3 linked regions of the Rhinolophus ferrumequinum genome follow. The protein of the gene in region 1 purifies or fractionates together with the protein of each later gene. This does not show direct contact. Links are inferred from orthologs where the notes say so. Each region holds a gene or a part of one and is shown on either strand. Other genes may lie near its edges. The genes, in order: MYBBP1A, LYAR and SIRT7.

Evidence for each region.
Region 2: the proteins of MYBBP1A (region 1) and LYAR purify together in Homo sapiens (affinity purification with mass spectrometry; 3 studies listed by BioGRID and IntAct, with this or other methods). This does not show direct contact. The link is inferred for Rhinolophus ferrumequinum from reciprocal best matches to the Homo sapiens genes MYBBP1A and LYAR.
Region 3: the proteins of MYBBP1A (region 1) and SIRT7 purify together in Homo sapiens (affinity purification with western blotting; 3 studies listed by BioGRID, with this or other methods). This does not show direct contact. The link is inferred for Rhinolophus ferrumequinum from reciprocal best matches to the Homo sapiens genes MYBBP1A and SIRT7.

Annotation. Positions count from the first base shown.
Region 1 is NC_046304.1:14,119,817-14,129,646, reverse strand, and holds the start of MYBBP1A (myb-binding protein 1A), read right to left. Parts: upstream 4,289-9,830; 5' UTR 4,274-4,288; coding exon 4,010-4,273; intron 3,779-4,009; coding exon 3,683-3,778; intron 2,959-3,682; coding exon 2,875-2,958; intron 2,794-2,874; coding exon 2,719-2,793; intron 2,625-2,718; coding exon 2,517-2,624; intron 1,574-2,516; coding exon 1,398-1,573; intron 1,236-1,397; coding exon 1,068-1,235; intron 947-1,067; coding exon 829-946; intron 1-828. Other genes in the region: GGT6 (glutathione hydrolase 6), read right to left, coding at 5,708-6,747, 7,057-7,170, 7,259-7,458, 8,061-8,194. UniProt on the Homo sapiens protein: May activate or repress transcription via interactions with sequence specific DNA-binding proteins. Repression may be mediated at least in part by histone deacetylase activity (HDAC activity).
Region 2 is NC_046288.1:82,854,453-82,864,195, reverse strand, and holds the start of LYAR (cell growth-regulating nucleolar protein), read left to right. Parts: upstream 1-5,501; 5' UTR 5,502-5,665; intron 5,666-9,743. UniProt on the Homo sapiens protein: Plays a role in the maintenance of the appropriate processing of 47S/45S pre-rRNA to 32S/30S pre-rRNAs and their subsequent processing to produce 18S and 28S rRNAs. Also acts at the level of transcription regulation.
Region 3 is NC_046304.1:54,691,884-54,700,864, reverse strand, and holds the start of SIRT7 (NAD-dependent protein deacetylase sirtuin-7), read left to right. Parts: upstream 1-4,894; 5' UTR 4,895-4,961; coding exon 4,962-5,054; intron 5,055-5,124; coding exon 5,125-5,262; intron 5,263-5,345; coding exon 5,346-5,450; intron 5,451-7,224; coding exon 7,225-7,295; intron 7,296-7,389; coding exon 7,390-7,462; intron 7,463-8,048; coding exon 8,049-8,147; intron 8,148-8,218; coding exon 8,219-8,455; intron 8,456-8,555; coding exon 8,556-8,636; intron 8,637-8,800; coding exon 8,801-8,907; intron 8,908-8,981. Other genes in the region: transcription factor MafG, read left to right, coding at 1-30, 125-577. UniProt on the Homo sapiens protein: NAD-dependent protein-lysine deacylase that can act both as a deacetylase or deacylase (desuccinylase, depropionylase, deglutarylase and dedecanoylase), depending on the context. Specifically mediates deacetylation of histone H3 at 'Lys-18' (H3K18Ac).

The sequences.
Region 1 (9,830 bases):
ATACGGGCCCGCTCAGCCTGGCCTCCAGCCACGCTCTTCATCACAGCTCTCTATTTTCTGACCTGTCCTTCACCCACAATTCTAATGGGAATGCATCTCCCCGAAGCTGCTTGTAGAGGTGCAAGCAGCTGGTGAGGGGAGCAAACCCAGCAGCATATCCTGTGCAGTGGGCACTGCTCTGGGTGCCTTGTGGGTATTAACTGGGTATCATTTTCACCACGATTTTTGAGGAAGCACTGCTCCTCTTGTCTCAGAGATAAAGAGAGGCAGGCACAGGGAAGGGAAGCAAACTACACAAGATCACACAGCATCACACAGCTAGTGAGCGGTGGAGCCAGGACTGGCACCCAGCGGTCTGGTCCCCCATTCCACATTCTTAACCGCCACTGGACTCGCCCTCAGCTTAGTGTGGGGAGTAGACAGTGCTCAGAACAACTTCAGTGATGAGGATGACACTCCTTCTCATAACACTGGGGTGGATGGAGGCCTGGGTATGCCACTGGCTGGACATGTCTCTGCTGAGGGGCCCAAGGGCAGAAGGGCTGACCTAGTCAAAACTCCATTCGCGGGGAAACAGTCGTGGGGGGCTCAAGTAGCTCACTTTACCCAGAGGCAAGAGACCCAGGTCCCAGGCCCCTCTCAACAGCAGCTATGCTTGCCCATCCCAGGCAGGGGCTGAGGCAGGAAGACCCACTATTGCAGGAGCAAAGAGCAAGCCTGTTTTCTAGAAGCTGGCTGATCGCTGAGGCAGCCTACCCCCTTCCTGAAGGAGGCAGCCGGGTTGCCCGGCCTTTTCTGGCAGTGTAGGGCTGCAGGGGCGGCACCCACCTTAGCAGTGACCATGTGTTCCCCGTAATGTCGGATCAGGTCCCCTCGCATCACCAGCTGTAGCTGCTCCTTGGACAGCAGAGGCAGGGCCGCACCCAGCAGTCGGAAACACAGGTAGCTAGGGCGGTGCATGACAGAGCCTGGTCAGAGCCCTGTTTCCCTGGTGGCTCTCAGGACTACCAGCCCATCCCTGCTTAACAGAGAAAAGGGGGTGGAGAGCAGACAAGCACCGCACGCACCTGGCTGGCCAGAACTGCTTCTGTAGTAGCCCTTGTTCCACAACTTCCTTCCAGAACCGTGGGAACTTGTCCTCCTCAAGTGCTAGGCGAAGCAGGTCCAGAGCCACAGTGGGCAGCTTGCGCTCCTTCTTCACAGAGGCAGCGGCCATCTTCAGCACAATCACCAGTCTTTGGAAGAGGGTGGAGGGGACTCAGGGGGCACCCACTGAACAGGTAAGGGCCAGGGCACCCAGGGAAGCAGGGACACCCCCCAAGCCATACCACAAAGCTATGGATGACCAGATGCAGCCCCTCGGCCCCAGGGAGCCCACCCACCCACCTCCCTCACACCTGGGGATATTCTCATCTGAGAAGAGGTCGACCGATCCCATCAGCTTCTCAAGCTTCGCGGGCACCTTCTGATGGGCCAAGAGGAAGAGCTCCAGGTGCTCAGGGGAGGCAAGTACTGAATTCAAGTCGACTTTGAGGACCTTCGGTAGGATCTCCTGCCACATAGCCTCTGGGACCTGAGGCGGGGACAGGTTGAGGGACGGTGGCTCTCTCACAGCATTTTTTGTCTCTCCCCGTTCTACCTGCCAGGCTCCCGTGAGGCCCCTGGCACAATGCCAGTCTGAGGTGGGATAGCCACAACCTACCCTGCCAGGCATCAGAATCATGAGAAGGATATTTGTTAAAAACCTTAAATCCCCAAGTCCCAGGAAGCTGGGTTGTTCACAAGCACCCCACTGATGCTAACTGGCCTGGGACCGCCATTTTAGTTCTCCTCTATTGGGTTTTTTAGGACTAACCCATTTCTTATACAAGGGTCCCCAAGTGGAGAGCTGGGGTTCAAATTCAGGTCTTCCTGGCTCTGCAGCCAGGGCTATGCAAAAAGCTGGGGCCCAGCTGTTGCTGTCCCTGCCTTTTCCTCAGTAGTAAAGGGTCCCAGGTACGAGCCTACCTCCATTCCCCAAGTAGGGCAGTGGGGGCCCTTCAGGGGCCAGCTCTACTCAAAACACATAGCAAACACGTTAGTATACTTGCCACGTGCCCGGCACTGTTCTAGGGCTGCACTGTCCTATACGGCAGCCATTGGCCACATGTGGCTACTGAGCATGTGCTCACCCGAATGGAGATCGGCTGTAACTGTAAAATACGTACTGGCTTTGGGAGCCTTAACGTGACAAAAAACAGTGTAAAACATTCCTACAACTTTTTATACCGGTTGTATGTTGAAAGAATGCTTTCAGTTATATTTTAGATAACTGAAATATAAAAGTATGAGATTAAGTATGTTACTAAACTATATTTATTTCTTTTTACCAGTTCAACACGGTTACTAAGAAAATGTCAAGTTACACACTTGTTTCTGTGCTGCCCTAGAGTGTTTCCGTGCGCTAACTCACGAGAACTTCTCCATGTTTCTATGAGTAGCGCTACCTGAGGTCCCACAGCTGGTTAAGTGCGTACCTCAGAGAGGATGTCCACCAGGGCCTTCTGGGGCTGCTCCTGCAAGTGGTTGTAGTACTGGGCCAGGGCTTGCAGCAGCTTCACCGACTTCATCAGTGCCTCTGAGTCCTGGTACCCACAAAGGGGGAGAGGGTATGAGGACATACCACGGTCCCCACCATTCCCAAGCCAGTCCACATCCTCGTGTCCCCAAAGCTCTTACCTTCACCAGCCTGCCCGACTGAAAGAGGGCTAGCACCCCAAACAGGTTTGCAAAGAGAGCGGGTCTCATCATGGCCTAGAAAAGGATTCCAGTGAGAAGGGCCCACGTATTCCCCATCCCGGGTCTGCTGACCTCCCTGAGGCCACTAACTCTCACCTTCTTAATTTTCTGTAGGTCATGTTTCTCTTCTATCTGTTTCAGGATGCTGCACAAGGGGATGTCTTCGAAAGACTGTAACAGCTGTCAGCAGTTGTGGCAGGAGGGAAAGAGGGGCACAGGGGAATGGCACAGCCACATGCCAACAGACTGCAACCTCCTCCCACTTCTCCCTGCAGCTTCTGCTCGGAGGCCTCGGGCCCCTGCTCCCACCCTAAGGATGCCTCTGAAGCTGCTCACCCCCTCTGAGCAGCGCTAATAATAGAACATGCTGCCTGAGTGGAGCTGGAGCCTCCCTGCCTCCCTGCCCCATGCCTACCCCGACTGCAAAAGTATCTCCTTTGGCTCCTCGATTGTTCAACTGAGATTCCCAGATACTGTATCCCCACAGCCTGCCCTGGGCACCCCCAGGCTGATCCTAAACGACTGATCTTTACTGCCCTTCCGATTGTCCAAGTTCCTCAGAAGTGGCCTATAATTAGCTAAGTGCCCCTTCCGGGGAGAGAGCCCTGAACCTGGCAGAGGTACGGAAACCCACTCCAAAGCTTACTACCTCAGTAAATGTCAATCCAAAAAGAAAACTGCTCAACCTCCTACTCCACCTGCAGGGGCTTCCCCATGGACAGGCTTCGCTTGCTCATACACCTCCTCCACGTGGGAACTCCTCCCATCAGCTCAGATGCTACTACCCCCCATCACACTTCTCCCTCAGACCACTGACTCCTTCCCTGCTCTGAGACATCTGCCCTGCTCACTCCCCACCGTTTTGACCCGCGTGGCTGGGACCTTCCAGGAGTCACCACCTCACCTGGGCCAGGGCCAGACTGTAGCAGGGCCGGGCGGTTTCTCGTCCAACCCCGAGCCCAGTGATCAGGCGCTTCAGGGCGTACTTCATCTCGGATCCCTGCGGAACCACGTGCATTCCCGGGTCGACCAGTGACAAGAATCGCACTGCACCAGCCCACCCCCGACTCTTGGCCCGCGCTCATCTGGGCATCCAGGTTCGCGACCACATGCCCCCAGTCCCAATTCCTGGGGTCCACCACCACCTCAGATGTGGGCCCAGGAATTGGGACTGGGGGCATGTGATCGCGAACCTGGACACAGCCCCCTGCCCCAGGCCCTGCCACCATACCTCTGGTCTGGTGCGCAGATACTGCAGGAGCTTCTCCGTGGCCTGAAGCCGCGTCTCCTGTTGCGGCTTCGCAATGTCCCAGAAGAAGTCCAAGAACTCGCGGCTGTGCTTCAGCAGGCCCTGACGGTCGGCGGGCCGGGCGCCGCTCTTCATCGCCTCTCCAGGAGACATAGGCTCAGCGTCGTCCTGATTCTCCGTCTGCGCCATGTTTCTGGAACACGTGGGCTCTGAAGACAGCCTCTTCCGGGTCAGATCGCGGCGCATGTGCGCTGGGTTGGGTCGGCTGGGGGCGGAGCCGGGGCGGGGCGGAGCCGGGAGGGGGAAGGCGCTGGCGGGGGGCTGGGGCGACCCGGTCCTTCTGCTCTTCCTGACTCCAGGAGTTCAGGAATTAGGACTTTTTTCTGAGTGCGGTGGGGTTATTGGAAGGTTTTATGGATGGGCTGGGCTTGATTCTATTTAAATTTTTAAAAGGTTATTCTGCAGCTGTGTGTGGGGTATGAATTTATGTAGGAGTGCAAAGGTAGACGCAGGAAGAACAGTTAGAGATAATGGTGGGTTGGACTAAGGTGATAGGAGAACAAGTAAAATTTCAGCTAGTTTGGAGCTGGTAGGAGGTGATGGGTGTGGAGGGAGAAAAAAAAGAGGGATGCCAGATTTGGAGCTAAAATAAATGGGTAGATTGTGGTGCCATTTACTGAGCTCAGGAAGAATTTTCTTTGCTGGGGGAGAGGTGGAGGTGGTGGGATCAAGAGTTCTTTTAAATCAGACATACCTTTTACAATGTGTGCGTGAGGTACTACCGTGTTTCCCCGAAAACAAGACCGGGTCTCCTATTAAATTTTGCTCCAAAAGACGCATTAGGGCTTATGTTCAGGGGATGTCATCCTGAAAAATCATGCTAGGGCTCTTTTCCGGTTAGGCCTTATTTTCGGGGAAACACAGTACTGGTCACCCCCGTCGTGGACTTGAGAAGCTGTCCCTGGACAGTTGTAGTGAGAGAGACCCTAGCCCTCGGGGAGGTTAGCGTTGAACCTGGCCTTTAAATTCCATACACCCAGCTCTTGCCTCTTTTGTGCCCCTGGGGCATCTCCTACTCACCCTCTCAGCCTCTTCCTGGTTTTGCTGTCTGCTTTAGAAAGTGAGATTAAGAGGTTTATCTTGGAGGTGTAGTGCCCTAGGAGGCAGGAGGTGAGTAGAGCAGGGGGAGCTGAAAGACACCAGCCCAGGCTCTGTCTCTGGGTGAGGGTCTCCTGTGCTGCCCATTGGGGAAGCCCTGACACCAGGCACCTCAAAGACTTATGGGAAATGAACCAAGAAGCAGGAATGGAACATGGAGTCTGGGAGACTTGCTTTTTATTTTGTTTCCAGCCTCGTTGGAGGAGATCAGAAGAGGGTGGCCTGAAGGAGAGGGCGGAGAGGCCAGCAGCACCCCTGGCTCTGCTTGCCCTGCCCACGGGGTCCTGAGCCTAGGCAGGGCCTTGGCCTTCTCTTACCTTTCCTTCCCAGAGCGGGATCTGAACTCAGGGCTGACCCCAGGCCCTGGTACTCTTTTCTTATCCTCAGTTTCCTTAGCTGAGAAGAGCCAGTTCAAGTAGCTGAACAGGCTAGAGTTTGAGTGCCTGAGCCAGCTGTGAGCGCATGATTGGTGCACACTTTTTATGCACTCCATCGCTGCTGGGTCTGCTCTGCTCCTGCCCCTCAGAACCCCTGGAAGGGGCAGCAGCCATTGGGGACACTGGAGACGTGGGCATGCTCTGCATGGACTGCCACCTGGAGCACGGTCCCTTGGCCACACAGGTTGGGGCTCTCTGTTGGTCCTTGCTGGGCTTGGTGCTGGTGCTGGGCCTGGGCTTGGAGCCCGGCCAGGTGGCTGAGCAGGGCGCGAGTTGTGACTCTGGCCACTTCAGGGGTCCCTGAAGCCACCAGCCCCAACACGTCGGCTTCTGTGTCATCTAGGCTGGTACGAAGGATGAGGGGGCAGGACCAGGTACTAATTGCAGACTTAGCTACCAGGTTGCTGAGTAGAACCCCAGTGCTTGGGGACAGGTGTCGAGAGCCAAAGGAGCTGTTGAGTGAGGAGGTGAGAAGGAGCACAGAGCCGCTGCTGTCCACGGTGGCCAGGACGCTGCTCATGGGGGTCACAGTAGCTTTTTGGGGTAGTAGGCAGGGGTCAGGGCGGGCCCCTCTAGACTGTAGGGCTGCCTCCAGCAGTGCCTGCAGTTCTGGGCCAGCTGAGGGGCTGGGGGTGGTGAACAGGATGCCCTGGGCCAGAGGTAGCTGCAGTGCTGGCTCCAAGGTGGGCATGGGCTCAGCTGAGGACCCATCCAGCCCCAGGTCTCTGGCCAGCGGACTCAATAGGGCATCGTTGGCAAAGTCGGGGGTTGGGGCAAGTGCTGCCCTGCGTAGCACGTCTGCCAGTTTTGGGTTGGTGGCTCGGGCCCCAAGGCTCAGGGGGGTCCCGTCAGTGTGGCAAAGTAGTGGACAGAGACCCTTTGTGCCCTGGGCTGCCAGAGCCCTGGCCAGGGGCATGTCTACCAGGAAGCCCTCTTGAGCCAGGGTGGTGGGGCCCACCAGCAGGCGTGGCCAGGGCAGGCGGCCGAAGTGTGTGTGCAGCAAGCGCAGGGTAGGCAGAGCCGAGGGCATCCCCAGGCCGGGGGCCAGTGTCTGGACTGGGCCTGATGTCAGGGCAGTTGAATTGCCCGAGGAGCCATTGTGGAAGAGGCCCCAGAACATGGCACCTGGGGGAGACAAAGGGGTCACACATGGGTCAGGGGCACTGACTGGGGTCAGGGTCACTCTGTAGCCCCAGGTAAAGGGCAACTGACTTAGCCTGGGGTCAGAAGTTACTGACTAACTCTGGAGACCCACCTGGGGTCAAGACCACAGAGACCTGGGATCAAGGGTCACAGCCTAGAGTGGGGATACTGGCCACGTCCTAGGTCATGCTCACTAAACAGCCTTGAGGTCAGGCCCACTGAATGCCTGGGTTCCAGGTCACCAATGAGGCCCAGGGTTGGAGTCGCTGTCTGGGGTTGTGGGTCACTGACCTAGGCCGGTGGCGTGAGGATGCACCACTGCCAGACACAAAGCTGCTCCAATTCCGGCATCCACGACATTGCCCCCAGCAACGAGCAGCTCTTGGCCCAGGTGGGAGCACGCGGCTGCAGCAAGGAAGGGACTGTCATGGGGAGGGGCCTGGGTCCAGTGACCCTGGCCCCTCCCCTCTCCCGAGCTGCTCCCATCACTGACCTGCAGGGCTGATGATGGCACCGTGGTGGTATACGCCGGGGCGGTGGGAGTGCCCACTGGGTCGAGGGGCAACAGAGCCAAAGGTTTCTGTAGAGCTACCCCTGGTGTGGAGTTGCCATGTGGCCAGGGAGAAGCCAACAACCAGCAGCAGCAGGGTGGCAACTAGCTGGGCCCAGATCCCAGGCCGAACACCACCTTTCCTGCAGAGAGGGGTATCTTGAGCCAGGGCTGGGGTAGGAGGACACCCATGAGCTCCAAGAAAACCCAGGGACTGTTTCCGGAAAGACTGAACTTGCTTGCAAGAGGAATATAAGTTTGCCAAGGAGAAGGGCCTCTTGGTAGATGGTGTAACCTAGACAGAGACGTGAAGATTGGGGAAACTGAGGACAGCTAGGGAGGGATCTCTGGAGAGAAGGTTGGAGAGGCAGGGTTGAACCTGGCTGGAGGCAGGCCTGACGGGGGTTTGGCAGGCTTGAGGAGCAGGGCCCGGCCAGGTGTGGCCAGGCCCCAACCTGCTCAGCAGGTGCCTCCTGAACTAGGGGGTGGGGTCTGGGAACCTTTGACAGAGCAGCTGGCAGGGCTGGCTTGGTACAAATTTTCCTTCAGACACAGACCTTGGGTTGACTGGCTCAGGCCAGATCTGGGGCTGCAGGTTCCCCCTATTCAACCAGAAAGTTCCTGGAGCTGAGCCAAGCACAGGGTTGTGTGACCCAACCCCCCTCTCCCCTTACGGACCCCAGAGGGAGGGACTTACCAGCTGTAGGCCCGAGTTGCCAGGTGCCCAGACCACTCCCTGACTCACCCATAGGAGTCCTGGGACTTCCAGGGGTCGGGGACGAGTAGCTCTGATATCTCTTCCTCTTCCCCGTCAGGCTCCAAGCTCGGCTCCCAGAGCAGCAGCTTTTGGTAGACCACAGGCTCTGCTGTGACTTCCATGGCCCCGCGGTACCCGCCTCAGCTCGCCTGCCTGCCTGCCAGCCTTCCCAGCTGAGTCTCAGGAGGCCCTGCCCAAGCCAGGGAGGTGGAGGCAGCCTTAGGGAAGGGTGCCGTGGAATCCAGAACAGGTCTAGGCAGGTCATGGGGCCAGCGAGGCTGCGCATAAGTCTGCCCCATTAGGACACAGGGCCGTAGGGGCTCATGGCCGGGCACTCTGTCAGCGGACATAGCTCGGTGGACACAGCCCTTGGGCCACAGCCATAGACCCTGAGACCCAGGATGCCCGCTGGTTCCCTTTCTTAAGTGATGCAGCCCCTGGATCCCCTGGCCTGTTCAGGACTCTACTCTAGGGACAGTAGAGCTTGAATTGGAACTACAGTTACATTGTGGCTTGAATCAGGGCTCAGCATGTGAGTAGGTTCTGCTGTGAGGAGGTGTTTGGTCTCTAGCTGGGGTCAAGAGTCAGCCTGAGGCCCTGCCAAGGATCTGGGTTTGTCTGGGGAGCAACTAGTGGTGAAGGCACATCATGTGGCTCTTGTCCAGCAGGTGGCGCCACAGGCCTCTTGGGGACCTGCAGCCTGGAAACCATGTTTCCAAGTTCCTTCACTCTGTGATTCACATCAAGGACCCCAAAGAGTGCTGCAGGACAAGTTATGGACTTCAGTCATATCCATTCTGTAGTCATCTCTCTGCTGACCACTCTATTATGACCACTTCAAACCTTCTCCCTCTTCCCTGCCTCAAACCCCAAACCCTCCGACTTGCACTCTCAGTGAACCATCTTCCTCCTAGATCACATGGACACATCAAGACTGATGGAAGGAGCCCCCAATATCCACCCCTTCCTACAAACCCACCTTCCACATCGCTCTCTCCTCCCCATCTGATGCAATGGAAAAGCTACTCTCTGCCTCTGGTTCTGGCCCAAACCTTTCCACCTCTTGCCTCCTGCTTCCCCAGGGACCTCACTCTCTTACTGACCCCTTCTTTCCTGTAGCTTCACGTCTTCTCTACTGGTTCCTTCTCAACAACTTTTAAACGTCAAGTCGGGAATAGGCTTGGTCAAGACGGCGGAATAGGTAAACGCTATGCTTACCTTCTCTCACGACCACATCAAAATTACAACTAAACTACAGAAAAACCGGCATTGAGAATCACCTGAAGTCTAGCTGAACTGAAGCCCTACAACTATGGACATACAGAAGAAGCCACCTTGAGACTGGTAGGAGGGACAGAAACATGGAACGCGCTGGTCCCACACCCACATGTGACCATTAATAATCAGGAGGGATTAATATTCCATTGTGTATATATACCACATCTTCTTTATCCAATCATCTATTGAAGGACCCTTTGACTCTGGGTGGTGAGCACACAATAGAAAAATAAAAATCAGGAGAGATATCCCAACTGCGGAGGTTTCCACTGAGGAATGAGGGGTCCAAGCCCCACACCAGGCTCCCCCGCCCAGGGTTCCATTGCCAGGGAAAGAAGTCCTCATAACTTCTGTCTCTGAAAACCAGTGGAGATTGTGGCTGAGTGAGATGGAGGTCTCCTAGAGTCCCAGGGGCTCCTCTTAAAAGGCCCACTCACGTACTTACTCCCTGATGGACTCAGTTGCTCTGAGTTCCAGCGC
Region 2 (9,743 bases), on another chromosome or scaffold:
TGAAGTCCGATTGGGCCGAGACTACGGAGCTTAATGCGACACTTTAGTACTTTGAAAACCTAAGAAGCCCCTCTCTGCTTTGTTTGTTTTCCTTCTCAGTGCATACGCCTTACTGAGAAAAGTCACTACACCATGCAGCCACAAATCTCCTCCTTTTCACACGGCCCCTCCCCTTATAGCCACCAGTATTTTTCACCTCACCTCCTGTTACTCCCAGATGTGCCGGCCAAAATGAACGACCGCAGCCCCCAACAGGCTGTGTCCCGGCCAGTGCTGGAGCCCGAGCCCACTGTCATTAGTGACGTGACTTTGGGCAATGGCTTCTCCCTGCCCTGCGTTCCTCGCCCTGTCTCACAGGTCACTGAGATACACCCGAGAACCATGCACACATCACCACAGCGACTGGCACGTGTGAGTATTCCCTCCCAAACGTCCCCTCTGAGGAACACCTGGAGAGCCTGCTAAAAAGGACCGTCCGGACGCTGCCCCAGACGCTGCCCCAGACGTCCGCCCCGTTGAGCGTGGGGCCCAGGCATGTGCACTGTAAGCATCCAAGGGCTCTGAGCAGATGGACTGCACCCCTCTCTGCCTTGCTCTGTCCTCCAGAAGCCTCTGGTTCTGCTACTTCCGGTCCTGGGAATACTTTCTTTACTTCTGAGTCTCCCACCTTCCACAGAATGCCCACTCGGCTGTCAGCAACTCCGAGGAGCCTTCCTGCCACTCCTAACATGTTCCCTCTTCCCCACTGCTGCTCCTCAAGCCTGACTTCGGGGTTATCCTCTTTGGGATGATCTTAAGCACCCCTACACACTTCCAGAAGATAACTTGTGCTCCATCATTTGTGTGTCCAGCTCTGCTGTGAGTTCTCAGGGTACCATCTTACTCATCTTTGCCTGGCACGTGGCAGATACCGGGCCGTTAAAATTCATGCTCATTAATGATGGTTAGTAATGTTTTCTATTTATGTCTTTTTGACTCCCTCTACATTCCTCACGATAGCTCTTCTAAATCCTTCCCATTCTCTTCATTCTCACCATGTCTGTCGCCCTCATCCATAAAAGTGACCGTGACCCTGACTTCACTAAGAAGGTAGCCCGTGGATAACTTGCTATAACCTTTAGTTTCTTTTCTTAATCCCCAGTTCCCACTCACCTCTCCCTCAGCCCCGTCAGCTCCACAGGATGAAGTGTCCCTTCTCCCCTTGATTCTAGCTCCTCCCGGCTCCCCCGAGACTTTGCTTCATCACCACCCCTTTCATTGCTTTCCTCGGTCCTCCACCGGCTCACCAGTTCCTACAAACACACCAAGCTCACCTCGTGCTGAACAAAAGCAAAACAAAATAGGACAACGAAACCTTCCCAACTAGGTACATCTATGCATCACAGGCCTCTTTTCACACTTTCACAATTGTCATCTACACATCTCGCTTTACTTTCTTAAGACCCTTTCTCACCTTGCAACATTCTGCCATTCTCACTCAGATGCTGAAACAGACTTGCCCACAATTGCCTGTCCTCAGTCCCAGTCTCCCCAGCTTTCCTGCAGCAAGTGGTCATGTAGTCTGTCTGTCTCTATCTTGAAATTCCTCCTCCCCAAGAATGCTTCTGCTTCTCTTACTATGTCCCCGATCTGCTGTGCTTCTTCCTCTGCAAGCCCCCGAAATATCAATGTCGCTTAAGCTCAGCCCCTGAGCCCTCTTCTCTTTCCCTTGACAATCAAATCTGCTCTTGGCCTTCATCTGCTCTACGCAGACGAGTCCTAAATTTGGAACTTTAGTTTTGACCACGAGTTCCAAACGCCCAACATTTCACTAAACATCTTCAACTGTATGATCTTTCAACTCAGAATCTCCAAAACTTACCCCCATCATCTCACCCTCCGCTCTATACCTTTTCTGAGTCCCCTATTTCTTAATGGAAAGCTTAGTTTCTGGTGTGTAGAGTTTGGGGTGCTGGCGTGATCTCCTCGTTCGAGATCAGGGTGGGATTCCGAGAAAGCCAGGACTAGAGGAGGTGGTGTGATCTATAAAGAGCAACACTGCAGCACTGGGAGTGGATAATATTACCCCCGAACAAGAATACAGAAAGGGAAGCATTATGTGGGACGGTGGGGCACTGTCCCCAGTGCTGAATCCTCCACGGTCCTGAACAGCCAAATGGCAGCAATCAGTTACCTACCCCTGCCCCACCGGTTGCCAGAGAAGAAAAGGCTTCTTGGTTCACTATTATTAATTGTCATTTACTGACTGCTTATTACAGGCTGGGCACCGTGCTCAGCATATTATATCCATTAATTAAAATAGTGCAACGTGAATCCTACTATACCATTTTACAAGTGAGGAAATTAAGAAACAGGGAGTTTAAGTAACTTGCCCATGATTATAAAACTGTTATGTTCCAAAGCCAGAATTTAAATCCTGGTTCTTAAACCCTGGAGTCTATGCTCTTAGGCTACGCTGTCTCCCACGAGAAAAAGGATATAAAAAGCACAACACAAAACCTTCCTCCATACACTTAAATGTTAACAGGCAGCAAATACTCTGAATCTACATTAGACGTTTTCTAGCTATACAGAAGTGATAAAGGGAAAAATTCTTTGGAATGACCCTGAGAATTATGATGATATGCAAACTTCAGAAGCATTCCACAATTTACTTTGACTATAAAACTTATAATGATCCATATTGCTTAGTGTAATTCTCTAATTGCTTCATGATGTTAATCCTATACCTCCCTTATAAAAAGCTCCAGAGAAAGAATTGGTAGCTTATATTTCTTTTGTGTGACAACGGTCAGCAATAATGTATCCTGTACCCAACAAAAGTTAACAACAAATATTTATAAAATGTTTCCTATATGCCACCAGGCACTATTCCAAGCCCTTTACACCTGTTAACTTATTTAATTATCAGAATAACTGTAAGATAGGTACAACTATTCCCTCAGTTTTAGATGAAGACAGAGAAGCACCTGGCGGATTACAGATGGCCACAACTTCTTTGACACTCCTCCCAGGGAAGGTGGGATCTATGTCTCCTCCCCTTGAATCTAACATCTGTGCTCATTTCTGGGCCCAGGCCCTAAGAGCTGAAGCTCCCACCTGCCATCTTTTGGAACAATGGCTCTGGAAGGCCTGCGTCGGCAGTCAGACTGTAAAACGCCCTACTGGAGAGAATACATGGAGTAGCTTAGAAGGAATCAGCTGGGCCCAGCCTCCCACCAGCCCTTCCCGGTACCAGATATGGGAGCAAAGACACAGTGAACGCTCCAGACCAGCCCCACTACACATCTGTACCAAGAATGTGACGGCGGAAAGATGGACTGAGTGGCATAAAAAACAATGAAAATATGGGAACCGAAAATGAGAAACACACAAGAAAAGCTTAGGCAGGTGTGAACGAAGAGGAACAAGAGCCAGCATGGAATTCTATCTACCCTGTAGAGACGGCTAGTGCAGCAAAGCAAACCTTTCTGTCCAATCTACCAACTGGCCAAACACCAGAGGAAAGAATCTGTGCAAGTCTGTTCAGTGGGGCCGTTGACAGATGACTTCTCCAAGGGTCCACAGCTCATGCACCTGGCACTGAGCTTGCCTTAGAGTGATGCTACCTTCCTTTTAGCCATCATGGTTTTCAAATGGCTTGTTCCCAACCCCAATGACAAATGCACTGGCTTCAAGCAAACAAGCCTGGATTCCTGTCTTAGCTCTATACTGACTCTGATGCTACACGGGCCAATTCACGGAAGCAGTATTGTGGGCCTACTATGTGCAAGCGTTGTCGTGAGGATGGAATGCTGATAAACTGAATGAGATATGCTCCCTGCCTTCCACAGTCTGTCTCAATTTGGGCCTCATTCGCTTAACTTTAGTGTCCACTAGATGCCAGGCACGGAGGGTCACGACGGTGAATGACTCAGATACGGTCATCCATGCCTTCGTGAAGTGAGAGAAACAAGAGTAGCAACGCACTGCAGATATTAAATAGAGGAAGCACAAATTAATTTGGGGGAGGAGGGTTAGGGAAAAACTTCCTTGAGGAAGAGACATCTGTGTTGAAATCTGGAAGTTAAGTTTGCCAGAGAAAGCAGGGAGCTCACCCTGAGTTTTCAGGGGAAGCAAATAGGGGGAAAAAAAAGAAAATGCAGGAGAGCGCCACTAAGAATGAGGCACCCCTACATGCCCTGCACATAAAAATGCCTTGAGCACCCTGCTTTTCAACCTCTTGGCCACTCTGTCACCTTTGTCAGCAACTACTTCCCTTCTTGTCCATTCTGGTGAATTCCTTGTTAAGGGCTGAGTTGCATCCCCCCCAGATTCATATGCGGAATCCCTAACCCCCTCGGTACCTCAGAATGCAACTGTGTTTGGAGATCAGGCCCTGAAAGAGGTTTTAAAATCCAATCCAATGAAGTTAAAACTCTAATGCAATCTGACTGACGTCTTGTAAAAAAAAAAGGAGCCCCAGGGATGCTCATGCAGAGGAAAGACCACGTGAGGACCCCCAAGAAGGTGGCCCTGACAAGAGAAACCAAACCCGCGACACCACTTCCAGAGCTGTGAGAAAAATAAACGTTGTTGAAGCCACTCGGTCGGCGGTATTTCGTCATGGCGGCCCTCGCCAACTGCTACACCTTCTATTCCAGGCCCAACACTGTTGGTCCCAGAGTGAAACCGCCCTTATCAGCCCCACCCCCACCCCAGGGTTACCGTTTCTCACAGTACTCGGTCCATACTCCAGTCACCCAATGAAGCCGTGAACACCTAGTGACCACCCCTGTCTGCCAGACCGGAGAAGAACGGCGAAGCGATGTAGTGCTTTACATTCATCCACTCGAGAAATCCTGCGAGACCCCGACGCAACAGGCACTGCCATTGCACGCCTTGTGCAAACGGGAGCCGAGGCACGCCGAGTCCACCCGGGAATGCCGCTGGGCCGGGTCTGCGGTCGTGGGCACTGCTCTCAACCACAGGGAGGCAGAGGGAGATGGGAACCGAGCGCGGGGAGCCCCGGACGGGGAGGGATCGGGGGCTACACGCGGGCAGTGCCCGAGCGGGCGGGAGGCCGGGCGGGGACGCGGGTGGGCTTCCCAGGCCGAGGAAGCTGCACACGGACACGGCCGGCTCCAGGAGCACGCCCGGATCTTTTGTGTCCCGGAGCCAGAGCACGGCGCCGGGGCTGCTTAACCCCCTCACGACCCGACCGCTCCCCCAGACCCTCGCGGTGCCCGGAGCTGCGGAGGCGACGGCGAGTCCGTGCCCCGCCCGGCTCTCGGGGCCGCGCCACCGCGCGGGACCCGCACGCCCTCGCGAGGCGGCCTCCGGACCCGGCGGCCACCTTACCCCGGGAGACCGCTCCGCGCCGGCCTCCGCCTCTTCACCTACCGCGACGCCCTCCGCGCCGCTCGCCGGGCTCCGGGGGACGCGGAACCATCGCGACAACGCCCCCTCGGCCGGCCGGACCCGCCCTCCGGCTTCCGCTGCCGTCACTTCCGCCGGGCGGTGCAGCCGCAGCGCGCAGGCGTGCGGGGCGGCTCGGAAACGAATTCTGCGCGGGGAAGCTCGGGAGCGAGGCGGCGGCGGCGCTGGGCCGGCGGCGGAGGCAGCGGCGGCGATTCCACGTGCTCCGCGCGGCCGGTTGAAACTGTTGGCGGACGGCCGCCGAGAGGTGAGGAGCAGAGGCTCAGAGGTCCGACCTGGGGGGCGGGCGGGCTTGGAGAACGGGCAGGGGAGGGGGCAGTATGGCCGATGCCTGCGTTTCCACCCTGCGAGCCCCTCCTTTGGTTCACACACGTAGAGGAGGGAGGAAATCTCTGCAGAGCTTATTGGTGCTCTGCTCTGGGGAAGTGGAAGGAGCCCTGGATTTAGGATGACCACTTATTTCCGGTTTTAAAACGGAAAGGTTCTTGTGCCGGGAACCTTCTCTGTCGTGGGCCAAGCGGGACGCTTGGTTCCCGCTGGCCTGGGGTTCAGGCTTGCTGCATGTTGGGGACAAGGCTCTTGTCTTCTCTGAGTCTTGGGGAGCTCGGGCCCTCCGGAGGAGGCCTTGGGGCGTAGTGGTTGAGAGCACGGGACTCGCTCTTAGGGCTCGAATCACTGCGTGTGAATCCAGGTTTACCACTAACTGGATGCGTGACCTGCTGCAAGTGACTTAATCTCTTCGTGCCTCACTTGTCTGTCAAAAGGGAACAGTATAGAACCTAACTCAGAGGACTCTTGTGAGGATTACATAAACACAAACGTGTTAACCATCTATGACGGCTTGGCATGTAGTAGGTGCTCAGTAAATGTCAGGATTTTCTGCAGCTCCTTCCTCTGAGGAAATAGGTAGGGGGACGAGGTGGGGTGTATTTGCAAGGCTCACTTTCCTGCAGAGAGGGTCCGCTTGGGACTTGTGCGTACAGCACCCCCAGCCCCCTGGCATCTAGCATGGAGCCTGACAAGTGGTAGACTTCCACAGATGGTTATTACACCAGTGAAGGGATGCTGTTTAAAACAAGGCTGGTGAGGCAATGTGTGGGGAGGGGTGAGGTTTGGCTTAACCACTCCCAGTGTCAGTTTGCTCATTGGTTAAGTGGAGACAAGTGTACCTACCTCCTAGGGTTTTTGCAAAGAGCAGGGGAGAGCTCCTGCATGAAAGCACATCTGGACCCTCATCACTCGCACATTCGGGGTTTAGACAGGATGGTGGACAGTATGTGCTCGTCTGTCCAAGAAATCCCAGAGTTTCTTGGAATTCTACCCTGGGTAGGGGCTCAGGGCTGGTCTAGTGGGCCTGATCCCTTGTTTCAGAGATGGAAGAACTTGAAGTTCAGACGGGATGGTGACTAGCTTGAGGTCCAAGTGCCTATTGGTGACTGTGCTGAGGTTGCCAGCCTGGCCTGTCAGATGGGCTGTTGTGGTGGTGGTGGTGGTGGTGGTGGTGGTGGTGGTGGTGGTGGTGTTTAGGTCTGTGTGTGTATGTGTGTGAGAGAATGGTTTAAGATTAGTGAGTGTAGTTTTTGTAGAAAATAAACAATATAAAAATGTAGAGGGAGGAGGCTAAAAAATTATTCCAAATCCCGATCCCAGAACTGATCCTGAGGTCACGTTATAAGGGAACAGGGTGGTAGAGTAGCACCCATGGGGTGGGGAGCCAGAGGAGACTGGAGTGAATTTATGAAGATAGATGAATTGAGGTCATATATAAAGAAGCATGGGTTTAGGAGGTTACTGGGTGTAACAGCATTGCGTGCAAATTGATAGGTCACAGGAAATTCTAGCATTGGGTAAGGCTGAATCTTTCACATCTGGTATCTTATTTAACTTTCCGCACAATGCTCTAAGATAGATATTAGGCCCATTTTATAGATAAACAGATTCAAGTTAGGGTGCATATCTTGAGGTCATTTAGCTTTTAAATGGCAGATGCAGGCTCCAGCTCAGATCCTCTGGCCCTGAGTCCAGTCCTAGTTCAACAGCACGGGGCTACCATCTTGATAAGAGGAGACCGAGGTGCCCCAAGTTCCTCACAAGTTCCCAGCCTTTTACTGATGCTGTCTGCTGCCCCTCCACTCAGCATCACTCTCCAGTACCTGACATCCTCCGCTGTGACACGGCTGGTCTTGCTAAGTGGGGGCTGGCCTTAGAATTAAGACTTGGGGCCCTCAGACTTTAAAAGGCCAGGTCATTTGTAGAGCCTTTGTGGGATGAGGGTCTCAAGGTCCCAGATGCTGAGTAACGGCCAAGGACATGACCAGTCCAGATGGAGAGGCAGGGCAGGAGATTGGGCTTATCACGTGGCCTGTCAGGCTGCCTCAGTTTCCTCACAGAGGGAGGTGGTGTGATCATAGCTGTTCTGGAGGTGTTGGTGCAGTTGTGATGGTACAGGTGAAATCGCTGTGTGGAGAGCTAATGGTCATGTTCTAGAAGGATGTATGCATCATCATTTCCTTGGGTTACGACACGTGGCGAGAGCTCAGTAAGTTGACCAACAGATGAATAGACAGAAGCTCACACAGAGGACCTGGTCTGCTTTGGGGGAGTGCACCTGGTGTGTATGGATCCTAGTGCCTACCTGGCATGCAGTAATGTCTGCCGAGCTGAATTACAGTGACTTCCCTGGGCCGAGTACCCACAGATGCTCTCAACCGGTCCACAAACATTGCTTTCTGCTTGCCCTTCTCTTTCACATGCCCACATCTCTAGGAGGACGAGCACACAGAATCTCTGTGGCTGCATTGGGACCTGGCCTTGGGCAGAGAGAGTGGGGAACCAAGGGAGGAAAAGGGAACTCTTGTGTAGGTTCGGCCCCATAAAGAATGCCATCTTTTCACACTTGGGGCTAACTGTTGAAATGTATGACATCTGAGCCCAGTGGACGGCTTCCTAAAAGTCTTCATGCAGCATGTTTTCAGCTTTCCTAATTTCCAAAGGAGAAATGCTACAAGTTTACCCAAAACATCATTTGAACGTTTATTTAAATTTCTTCCACATTTATTTAGTCCTGTGATATTTGAGTAACTTTAATTTTTTGTTTTAGATGATGCTTGCTGTTTTCAGTAAGAGGGAGTGAGTGTTCACATGGTGTCTTTTTGTCAGTCGATGCACTGACACTTCCGAAATCGTTAAGCCTGCACCGAGGCACAGGATACCTGTGTGCCATGCAGTTAGGATGGTTTTTAGCTTGCTGTTCTTTGCAGTGTGCCGTCCCGTCCGTTACCCCCCCCCCCCCGCCCACTCCCCCACACGGAGACACACAGGTGTTTCCTGCTTGAGTGACAGTGTATCCCCGGAGGGCTAGGTGAGGTGTGAGGCCTGATCAAGGTGACCCGAATCAGGGAGAGGTAAGCTGCTCACAGGCCTTATCTATCTCATTAGCGGGCAGGCGGCCACATTGTCCCCATTTCCTATCAAGAGTGAAAATGCAGGGAAGACTAAACGTCCTGAAGAAGGCACTAAGAGATAAAGCTACTCATTCTGCCTGTAAAAGCAAAGAAAGAAACAAATTTCTAAATGTGAACATTTGCCGTAAAAGACTGAATGAAAATGGTTGGAGAGGTGTCCAAATTCTCCTCCTCTCCTGAACTGACGTTTACTCTGTGTGGCTGATCCCCAGAAGGACGCATGGTGACACAGATAGTCCCAGCCTCTTTTTGTCAACGTCACTAGCTGCTTTCAGTTGATACGTTTTGTTGCCACTGGTCTTTCCCAGGCCTTTAATTGCTGACCTGTGACAGACCTGGTCTCCTAGTTGGATGTCACAGCTTTCCGAAACCGTCTCCTCTCCCCCCTAATCAATCAAGAAACAGAATAGACCTCGACCAGGAAGGTCAGAAAGCTCTAGCTTAACTCGGAGAGGCTATTTTTCATTGTTGACTCTCACGATGAACAGACTTAGACATTTTTCAGCAGATAATTTGGCTTCTCGAGCTGCTTCTATCTTGTGTGAATGATGGCCATCTATTTCTTGGTGACTAGTTAATGGTTTGCTCTTCTTACACCAAAGTGCCCCTACAGACTATTTATTGATAATGTGGTGTTGGCCCTTGTTCCAGCCTTTGTTCTCCCCGGAGAGGCAGGGTGTCCTCATCGCGTGTCATTAATTGAGCATCCATCTGCCAAGTGCAGAAGCTTGGCGGGGGGTGGGATTGGGGGGGCTCACAGTCCACATGAGTCCAGCTCCCCAGGACTTGTGACTGTTTCACACATCTTTACGGTAACCTGTTAGAAGGTGCTCGTGGCTGCACATCACACAGCAGTCTGTT
Region 3 (8,981 bases), about 41 Mb from region 1:
ACCCCCAATAAAGGAAACAAGGCCTTGAAGGTGAGCAGACAGGGCGGGCCGTGTCTCGGGGCTGCGGTGGTACAGGGATGGGCGTCACATCAGCCCGTGACCTCGTGCGCTGTGCCGCCCCCAGGTGAAGCGGGAGCCGGGCGAGAATGGCACCAGCCTGACCGATGAGGAGCTGGTGACCATGTCGGTGCGGGAGCTGAACCAGCACCTGCGGGGCCTGTCCAAGGAAGAGATCATCCAGCTGAAGCAGCGTCGGCGCACGCTCAAGAACCGCGGCTACGCCGCCAGCTGCCGCGTGAAGCGCGTGACGCAGAAGGAGGAGCTGGAGAAGCAGAAGGCGGAGCTGCAGCAGGAGGTGGAGAAGCTGGCGTCGGAAAACGCCAGCATGAAGCTGGAGTTGGACGCGCTGCGCTCCAAGTATGAGGCCCTGCAGAACTTCGCCAGGACCGTGGCCCGCAGCCCCGTGGCGCCAGCTCGGGGCCCCCTTGCTGCCGGCCTGGGGCCCCTCGTCCCCGGCAAGGTGGCCGCCACCAGCGTCATCACAATAGTAAAGTCCAAGACGGACGCCCGGTCGTAGGGACATGCGCTTGCCCAGGCGGGTCTTCGAGGGGCCACTAGGCGCATGGCGAATTTGGCAGCCCTGTCCCCCCTTTCTCCTCTCCTTCCCTCTTCCTCTCCTACCTCCTCCCTTCCCTGCAAAGCACAACCTGCACCCCAGGGGCACCGGGCTGAGCCCCTTGATCTCGTCGTTGTCATCATGTGTTTTGTATGTTGGGATTGGTCAGTTCGGTGGTGACGTGGGGCCGCCCCAGCCCTTTGTACTAAGGCCATGTGGGCTTGGAGTCCAGAGTGGTCCTGTGCGAATGGGCAGAAAGATCGAGCAAACACTAGGGGCTCAAGGGTCCCTGAGCAGGGAGCGTGCTAGGCTGAGTGTCCCATAGGCTCTGGCGGCCGCCTGCACTGGCAGGGGCCTGGGTAGTTCACAGCTCAGCCAGAGGTATAGATGGGCTCTGCTCCGAGGAGGGTGTCCTTGGGGACCCTGGACAGGCAGGCCACCAGCCTAGGTGCTTGGGGGATGGGGCGTCGTGCGGCTATGGGCCCGGGCCTCGGCACTCTCGCCTGACGCATTGCACTGAACAAGACCAAACCACTGGTTGTGAGCGTACGTGAAGGGTGTGTCCAGTGTCCTGCGATGGGTCCCGTGTCACTGTTTACATGACCTATTTGTGTGGTTACATAGCCCTTTATTTAAAAGAGAGAAGTTCCTTTTACGAAGTTATTAAATTATATGTTTAAAAGCTAAAGAAAAAAAAAGAGCTGCAGAGTATTTATAAAACTGTCTTTTTAAAAAAAAAAAACAAAAAACAAGCAAGAACATTTGACCATATAAATGGAAAAGGGAAGAAAGTATAATAGAAACTGCTAGTTTAAAAAAAGAAAAAAAAATCCCTTTCTTGTAAACTTACAGACAAGTCTTTGTGGCTGTTGGAGTTTAGTTTTTATATACACAGAGTTATCAGATGTTATTTATAAAACTTAGTTTAAAAAAAAGACAAAAAAAAAAAGCCAAGCCGCGAGCGACCAGAAGGCACGTCCTGACGTCCTCTTTGCTCTCTCTTTTGCAATTGTACCGAAAGTGACTTACTCCTTTGCCCTTCCTGCTTCCGTCTCCTGTCTCCTGCCGGTGCAGTGGTGTCGTCTGTGCCTGGTGAGGTGTTGTGCAGCGTCACGTGCTGGTGCTTCTGGTGACCTTTGACCTGTGGGTGTCACTTCTTGTGTCTATTTTCCTGTGTTTGTTTTGGATTTGGTTGTGTTTTGCTTCTGCTGGCTTGCCAGGCTCAGGCTGGGGTGCCAGGCGGTACGTGCTGCAGCAGAGCTGGGGGGGTTGGTGCCCACCAGCCTGGCCTCTTCTGCCTCAGCGTCTGCCCCAGACCTCCAGGAGGTCAGATTCCGGGCTCTGCCACTCCTACCCCCACTCCCCTCTGACCCTTGGCTTCGCATGCGTGTCTCAGGCTTGGGCTGATCCATTGGCAGGGTAGGTGAAACTGGGGGCCATCCCGGGGGCTCCCCATGCTGCTACCATGCCCACCGCCTCTGGCCCTGGGTGGGGGATTTGCAGGGACCAAGGAGTCACTGTGGGTGCCCACGGGGCCACGGCCAAGCTGCCCCTGCCGTCTTCCTTCTGGTGTCCAGTCACCGTGCTTGGGCTCTGGCCACTGACCCCAGCTTTGTTCTTCTAGGCTTCACATGGGCCTCAGCAGGGGAACCCCAGGGGCCCACATAGGGGTTGCAAGACCTGCTGCCCAGTTGTCCCAGGACTGTTTCCATGCTGCGGGTGGTGCTTCCCAGGCAAAACCAGGTGGTTTCGGGGCCCACCTGGGGCGGTCCTTTCTGCCTGCCTGAGGGCCTGGGGGTCTCCACCAGTGCCAGACAAGGGCTAGTGTCCAGGGCCGGTCCTGCCCCTCCTCGCCCCTGAATGTGCTGGCAGCTCTCGGCTTTGGGCCTTCTTCCGCCTCCCTTTGGGTCTGTGTCTTCCAGGGATCCACTGCCCAGCTTATGGAGGTGCTTCTCTTGGACTGAGCCCACACTCACCCCCATCCCGGCCACTCGGCAGAGGCAGCCAGTCTCCCAGACTCGGGTGGGAAGCTCATAGGCACGTGACGGGCTGCCTGTGGCGTCTCCCCAGGAGGCTAGTGCCCCGTCTCCAGCCACATGGGCCTCATTTGGCCTCTCCTTGGGTTGGCTTCTCTGGGGGCCCTGACCCCCTGAAAAGCACAGAAGTGCATCAGTGCTGCCTGGTAGGGTTTAAATTAACCTTGTGGGCAGCAGGATTTTCATCCCAGAATTTGACCCAGTGTGCCCATGGGATGGGAGTAGGATGTGCTGTCAACTTCTGCCATCTCGATGGGCTTCTGTGGACCCTAAATGCTCAGAGACGTTCCTAGTTGTACTGGAGTCAGCCTGCAATGGAGATGTTGACTGTTGACTCCAGATCACAGAGTGGCTTCCTCCCCTTCCAGTCTGTCTGTTTCGCAGGCTCCAGACGAGAGTTGTCAATGGTTGTAGCAGCAGTGAGTTGGAATTGCATCATAACAGCCCCTAAAGGGAGGTCACGTTCTGCCCTGGTGGTGGGAGGAACAGACCCTCCATGTCCATCTACGGTCCCCACTTTTGTCCTGGCCGGGAGGTCGTTGTCCACTTCGGCACACCCCTGCCAGGCTGTAGACCTGGAGGGTTTGAGGGCAGGCATGTGTTAACACATATTGCAAGGCCTTGGTTTCTGGAAGTTTCTGGAGTTAGTGAGGCCGTGGTTTCTTTCAGGGTTTTTGGATTTGGAACAACTGCTCCTTGGGTCTGGGGGAGCATCCAGTTCCCATCAAGCCAGGCCTGCAGGGCCACTCCACCCCTTTCCCTCCCCTTGGTTTCTTGACAGTAGACTGTGTCCACATGTGACTGGTTGGTGTCTTTCTGATTCTTGTTAATTTGGTTTTCCTACTGTGAGGGTGTTGTGTCCCCTCTCTCCCCTCCACTTTTCTGACACAGCAAATCGAGGGCTTCGGCCAAAGCCAGGTCTCCCAAACTTGTCCGCTCAGTAAACCACAACGTGCACCTTTGCTCCCACCGTGCCCTCGCCCAACTCCTCCCTGTCCCAACATGGACATTTAGATTTCAGAGAAGCCTGTGGGAAGAGGTCAGCTCCTTCCCAGAGTACGGCCCCAGGGAAAACTCCCCACAGCCCTTGGCTGCTGCTCCGGTGGCACTACCCTTTGTACAGGTGAGAACATGCGGCTGCTGTATGGCAGCTGGCAAGTGTGCTGGTTTCTGACGGGCTTTCCTCCTGTTGGTCCAGGCTTCCGGTCTGTGTGCACAACCCGGACCGTCAGCAACAGCCTCAGTGGTCAGTGCCCGGCCCACAGCTCTGATCTATAGCCTGCTTTGGGACGGGTGGTCAGGCCCCATCCGGTCCCCGCTGCCTCCATCTCTGGAGTGGCCACTTGGCCAAAGCTCCTGTCCACAGCTGGAAAGCCGGAGCCACAGGCTGCAGTGCTGTTTCCGCTCTGGGATCTTGTAAGTTACTTTTTTAGGCTGTGGTTTGGTGAAAGGAACCAACACATTAACGATTTTTTTCCCCAGAAGCCACTGAATAATTCTTTTTGGCGCGTTTTTGCCTTCCTGTTGGCTGTCTGGTTTTGGAGCAGATGGGGACAGAGAGCGGAGGACACACAGAGGCAGGGGTGTGCCCTCGAGACTGATGGCCTGTCCTGGGCGTGTGCTGTACCTGTTGGGCCAGTCGCATACATTTCCACCCCAGCCTTGGTATGTGGGTGTCCCCAGTGAACTATGAGGAGCGACCCTTCCAGCAACCTCGTGTCCCAGCACCTCCCTTCTTCCCATCCCCTCAATCTGCTAGTCCCGGAAGCCTTTAACCAAACGGGAGTGGGTACAGAAAGCCTTCTCCTGGCATCTTAGGGCAACAGGACAAGGGCTGCCAGTGTGTCCAGCTCTGCTGCTCTCCTGGCGCTGAGAGGGTGGGTCCAGGCAGAGTTGATCAGACCCTGCCTGTCCTGCCTAGGGCTGAAGTCAGGGGGAGGTGGGGGTATCCTGGGATCTGCCCGGGCGGCGGGGATCGTCGAAGCTCCAGGTGGGGAGGGGCCTCGTGAGGGCGGCCCGCTTAGGCGCCCACCCTGCCCTGTGCAGTATTTATTGCTAAATTATTGTCCAGGAGGGGCGGCACTGGGCCGGGCCCCGGGTATTTATTGCTGTACATAGTGTATGTTTGTGATATATAAGGTTTTCTTTATTTTGTATATGATCAATAAACACCTTTTAAAGAGACTTGGCAGGTGCTTAAATTGGGGCGGTGCGGGCGGGGCCGGAAGGGCGGGGCAGGGCCTAGCGCGCATGTGCCGGCGCGCGGCCTGCCGGGAGGCGGAAGCGGAAGCGTGGATCTCCTCGGGGCGATGGCAGCCGGGGGTCTGAGCCGCTCGGAGCGCAAGGCGGCCGAGCGGGTCCGGAGGCTGCGGGAGGAGCAGCAGCGGGAGCGCCTCCGCCAGGTATGTCACCTCTTGCCCCGCCCCGCATCCCCGCCTCGCGTCGCCCTCACCACCTGCCCCGCGCCCGCAGGTGTCGCGCATCCTGAGGAAGGCGGCGGCCGAGCGCAGCGCAGAGGAGGGCCGGCTCCTGGCCGAGAGCGCGGACCTGGTGACCGAGTTGCAGGGCCGGAGCAGGCGGCGCGAGGGCCTGAAGCGGCGGCAGGAGGAGGCGAGTCCCGCGCGGCGCCCGGGTCTGCGGGCCTCTCGCCGGGTCGGGGGCGGGGCTTACGAGCGGTCTGGGTGTCTCGGCAGGTGTGCGACGACCCGGAGGAGCTGCGGCGGAAAGTCCGGGAGCTGGCCGGAGCCGTGCGGAACGCCAAATACCTGGTCGTCTACACTGGCGCGGGCATCAGCACGGTAGGGAGGCGAGGCGTGACCATGGCCGTGCGCCCGGGTCGACTCCCAGGTCCGGACGAATGTCGGACCACCGGGCGGGGGGCTGGAGGGGACGCGCCCGGGGCGCCCCCTTCTGGGCGTGTGACCCAAGGACTGAGGAAAACTACTGGTTCGCAAAAAAACTCACTTTAAAAGCAGCCCTGAGGTTCTTTCCTCTCTTAGAAAAGCCGGAGATGACTCAATTTGGAACGTCACTGAGTAGAGAAACGTTTTTACAGGATTGAAGTCCGAGTTAGACCCAGTTAGCGACGAGAAAGGAAAAGGAATAGAAAGGGGACGTAATAACTTAGTTCTTGCAGGCACCTCTTCGTTTAAGCCAAGGAGGTTAATTTACTGTCCCAAAGTTATGTGGGCAGAGGTAAGCCCCAAACTGTGTCCTGATTCCCCGTTCATTGTTTTTCTGAGTGTTGAAGGAAGGTAAAGCAGAAAGCAAGGCCGTAAAAATTAAAGTACACCCGGCAAAGAAGGGAGGTGTGTTGGGTTTTGAAAACTTCCATGGAGATGTTCTCCTGGGCCATGGAATGGGTATGAGCTGCTTTGACAACGTGGGTGGCACGTTATCTGTCTGTCTGATGGGGTGGATTGAGTGTGAGCCGCGTGCAGGCCCAGCAGAGGTGAACACAGGATTTCCATCCTGGAGAAGCCCACAGGTGACATGAAAAGGCATATAAGCATGTAGCTGTCACGTGAAGCTGGCTGTGTTAGGTCAACAATTGAAATCCACACACACCCCGTGGTCTCAGCTGGGAAATTATCCCAGCTGGGTTTTTGTAGGAGGTGACACTGCGTCTGGGCCTCGAAGTGTGGGTAAGATTTTACGGGTGGTGACATGAGGCAGGGATGAGTGCAGGGCAGTGGCTAGAATGTGTCGGGTGGGCTGACGGTTGTGACTTACGGACCCTCCGGAGCCCTGGCAATCTGGTCTCCTCCCTCCACATTCACGGGTGAACTCCCGTCGTGTGATTATTTAAAAGCAATAATAATACCTCTGAAAGAGCTTCAGGTGCCTACTTAAAGGTGTGTGCTGCTCATTAATTTGGGGTGAGTGTTGCTGTTTGAGTTTCCCCTGTGTGATGTGAGTCGGAACCACGGGTCAGGGTGGGCACTTTTTGGAGCGTAAGCAGCAGGGAGGAGACAGGGCTCCACAGAAGGAGCACAGAACACCTGGATCCTGGCACACTCTCTCTCTTTGTCTTGCGTGGCTTTGTTCCACTGGATTGGGAACTTGGGCAATTCAGTGGTGTTTATCTCTCACCTGGAGAGGTTGGCCTGTCTTTGTGAAGGTAGGGCAGGAAGCACAGCATCAAGGTGGAAGAATTTGGACAGAGGAGGGATCCCACCTAGGGGATCACCTCTGCATCTTTCTGGTGTACTGGCTAGGCCCAGGGGACACACAGGTGAGGCTGACCAGTCCCACCCTCAGTGTGGAGGACAGGTGTGGCTGCAGAGCCAGGCTGTACTGAGGATGGCTCCCAGAGGAAGCGTAGCTGGAAGGATGAGCTGGACCAGGTGAGAGCGGGAGTCCAGGCAGAGGGAAAGAGCCACATGGGCTACTCTCCATCTGGGTTCAGGCATGTTAGACTAGGAAATGCTGAGCCTGTGGAATGAATAGAGGCCGGTCTGCAGGTCAGCCTGCAACACGCTGGGAGAAACATATGCTTTCTGTCCTTGGGAATTCTGTCAGTGGCTTCTGTGATGCCTTTTTACCAGGCTTATCTTCTTTCTGAACATGCAGGCAGCCTCTATCCCAGATTACCGGGGTCCTAATGGAGTGTGGACGCTGCTTCAGAAAGGGAGAAGTGTTAGGTAAGCAGTCTGCCCAGCCTTGCCACCGAGGGAGCAGGGCAGCAGGAGCCTGACCACGAAGCTCCCTTCACCTGTACCCCCTTTCACCTGGCAGTGCTGCCGACCTGAGTGAGGCCGAGCCGACCCTCACCCACATGAGCATCGCCCGCTTACATGAGCAGAAGCTGGTAAGAGCCCTGTGTGGCCAGCTGCTGTGCTTGCCGTGTCCACAGCGTGGGACCTGGAGCACCATTTTGGTGCTATAGTGACAACTGCATCCTACTTCTATGGCCAGTGGACCCCCGTAATGCGTGCCCACCAAGCAGTTTAGAGTCCTGGTTTGGGCCTCCCTCTGATCCTCCATGCTTTCTCTTCAAGAGGGCAGCTTCCCCTCTGAGTCATCCCAGCTAGAACTCATAGGAAGTCTCTGGAGACCTTCTGCTGAGCATCTCCAACCAAGTGGGGAAGGGTCGATCCTCCTGGGTCTTCAGGGACCTGAAACTGACCCAAGAGGGCATCAGCCTGGGCTTGAGCCCCGTGCAGCCGAGGCTCACCCTGCTGACACTCCCAGTGTGTCAGCCTTTGTTGGGGCCGGCCGTGCTGAGCCCTGCTCGGACCAGCCTGCTGCCCTGGTCTTGCCTTCGAGGCTTCATGTGAGGTTGGACTTGTCTCTGGTTTGGGGGTGCTGGGCTGGACTCAGGACAGGCCAGTGGCGCTGCTGGGTGGGTGCTGCTTCCCACGGCCCTCCCGCCAACTCCCGCTCGCCTCCCGCAGGTGCAGCACGTGGTGTCTCAGAATTGCGATGGGCTCCACCTGCGGAGTGGGCTGCCGCGCTCGGCCATCTCGGAGCTCCACGGAAACATGTACATTGAAGTGAGCGCTCCCTCCGGGCCTTGGGGGTGCGGCGGGCCAGTGCCTCCTGCTCACAGTGCCCTCCCCCTCAGGTCTGCACGGCCTGCACCCCCAACAGGGAGTACGTGCGGGTATTCGACGTGACGGAGCGCACCGCCTTGCACCGACACCAGACTGGCCGGGTGTGCCACAAGTGTGGGGCCCAGCTCCGGGACACCATCGTGCACTTTGGGGAGCGGGGGACCCTGGGGCAGCCCCTGAACTGGGAGGCAGCCACCCAGGCTGCTAGCAAAGCGGATACGATCCTGTGTTTAGGCTCCAGCTTAAAGGTACACAGCCGGCACTGTGGCTGGGCTGGGAGTACCCTGCCAGCAGCTTCCTACAGCCTCGTTCCCCGGTCGTGTGGTCTGTGTCCGTCTGTCCCCGCAGGTTCTGAAGAAATACCCGCGCCTCTGGTGCATGACCAAGCCCCCCAGCCGGCGGCCCAAGCTCTACATTGTGAACTTGCAGGTAACTCGGTGCTCAGAGCTGCCTCCTGAGCCCTGAGCCTTAGGAGGCCCTGTGACGTTCTGTCCTGAACTCATGCACCTTGGGGGGCTGGCCAAGCAGAGCCCAGGTCACAGGGCATTGGGAAGGAGTGAGGTGCTGTCCTCATTCACCTTCCCTGTCCCCAGTGGACCCCAAAGGATGACTGGGCTGCCCTGAAGCTCCACGGGAGGTGTGATGACGTCATGCAACTCCTCATGGATGAGCTGGGCCTGGAGATACCCCCCTATAGCAGGTGAGGGGGCGTGGGCCCATCGCCCTGCTGCCCGTGTGGATGGGCTGTGTCTGTCTGCTCTTGGGAGCTAAGCA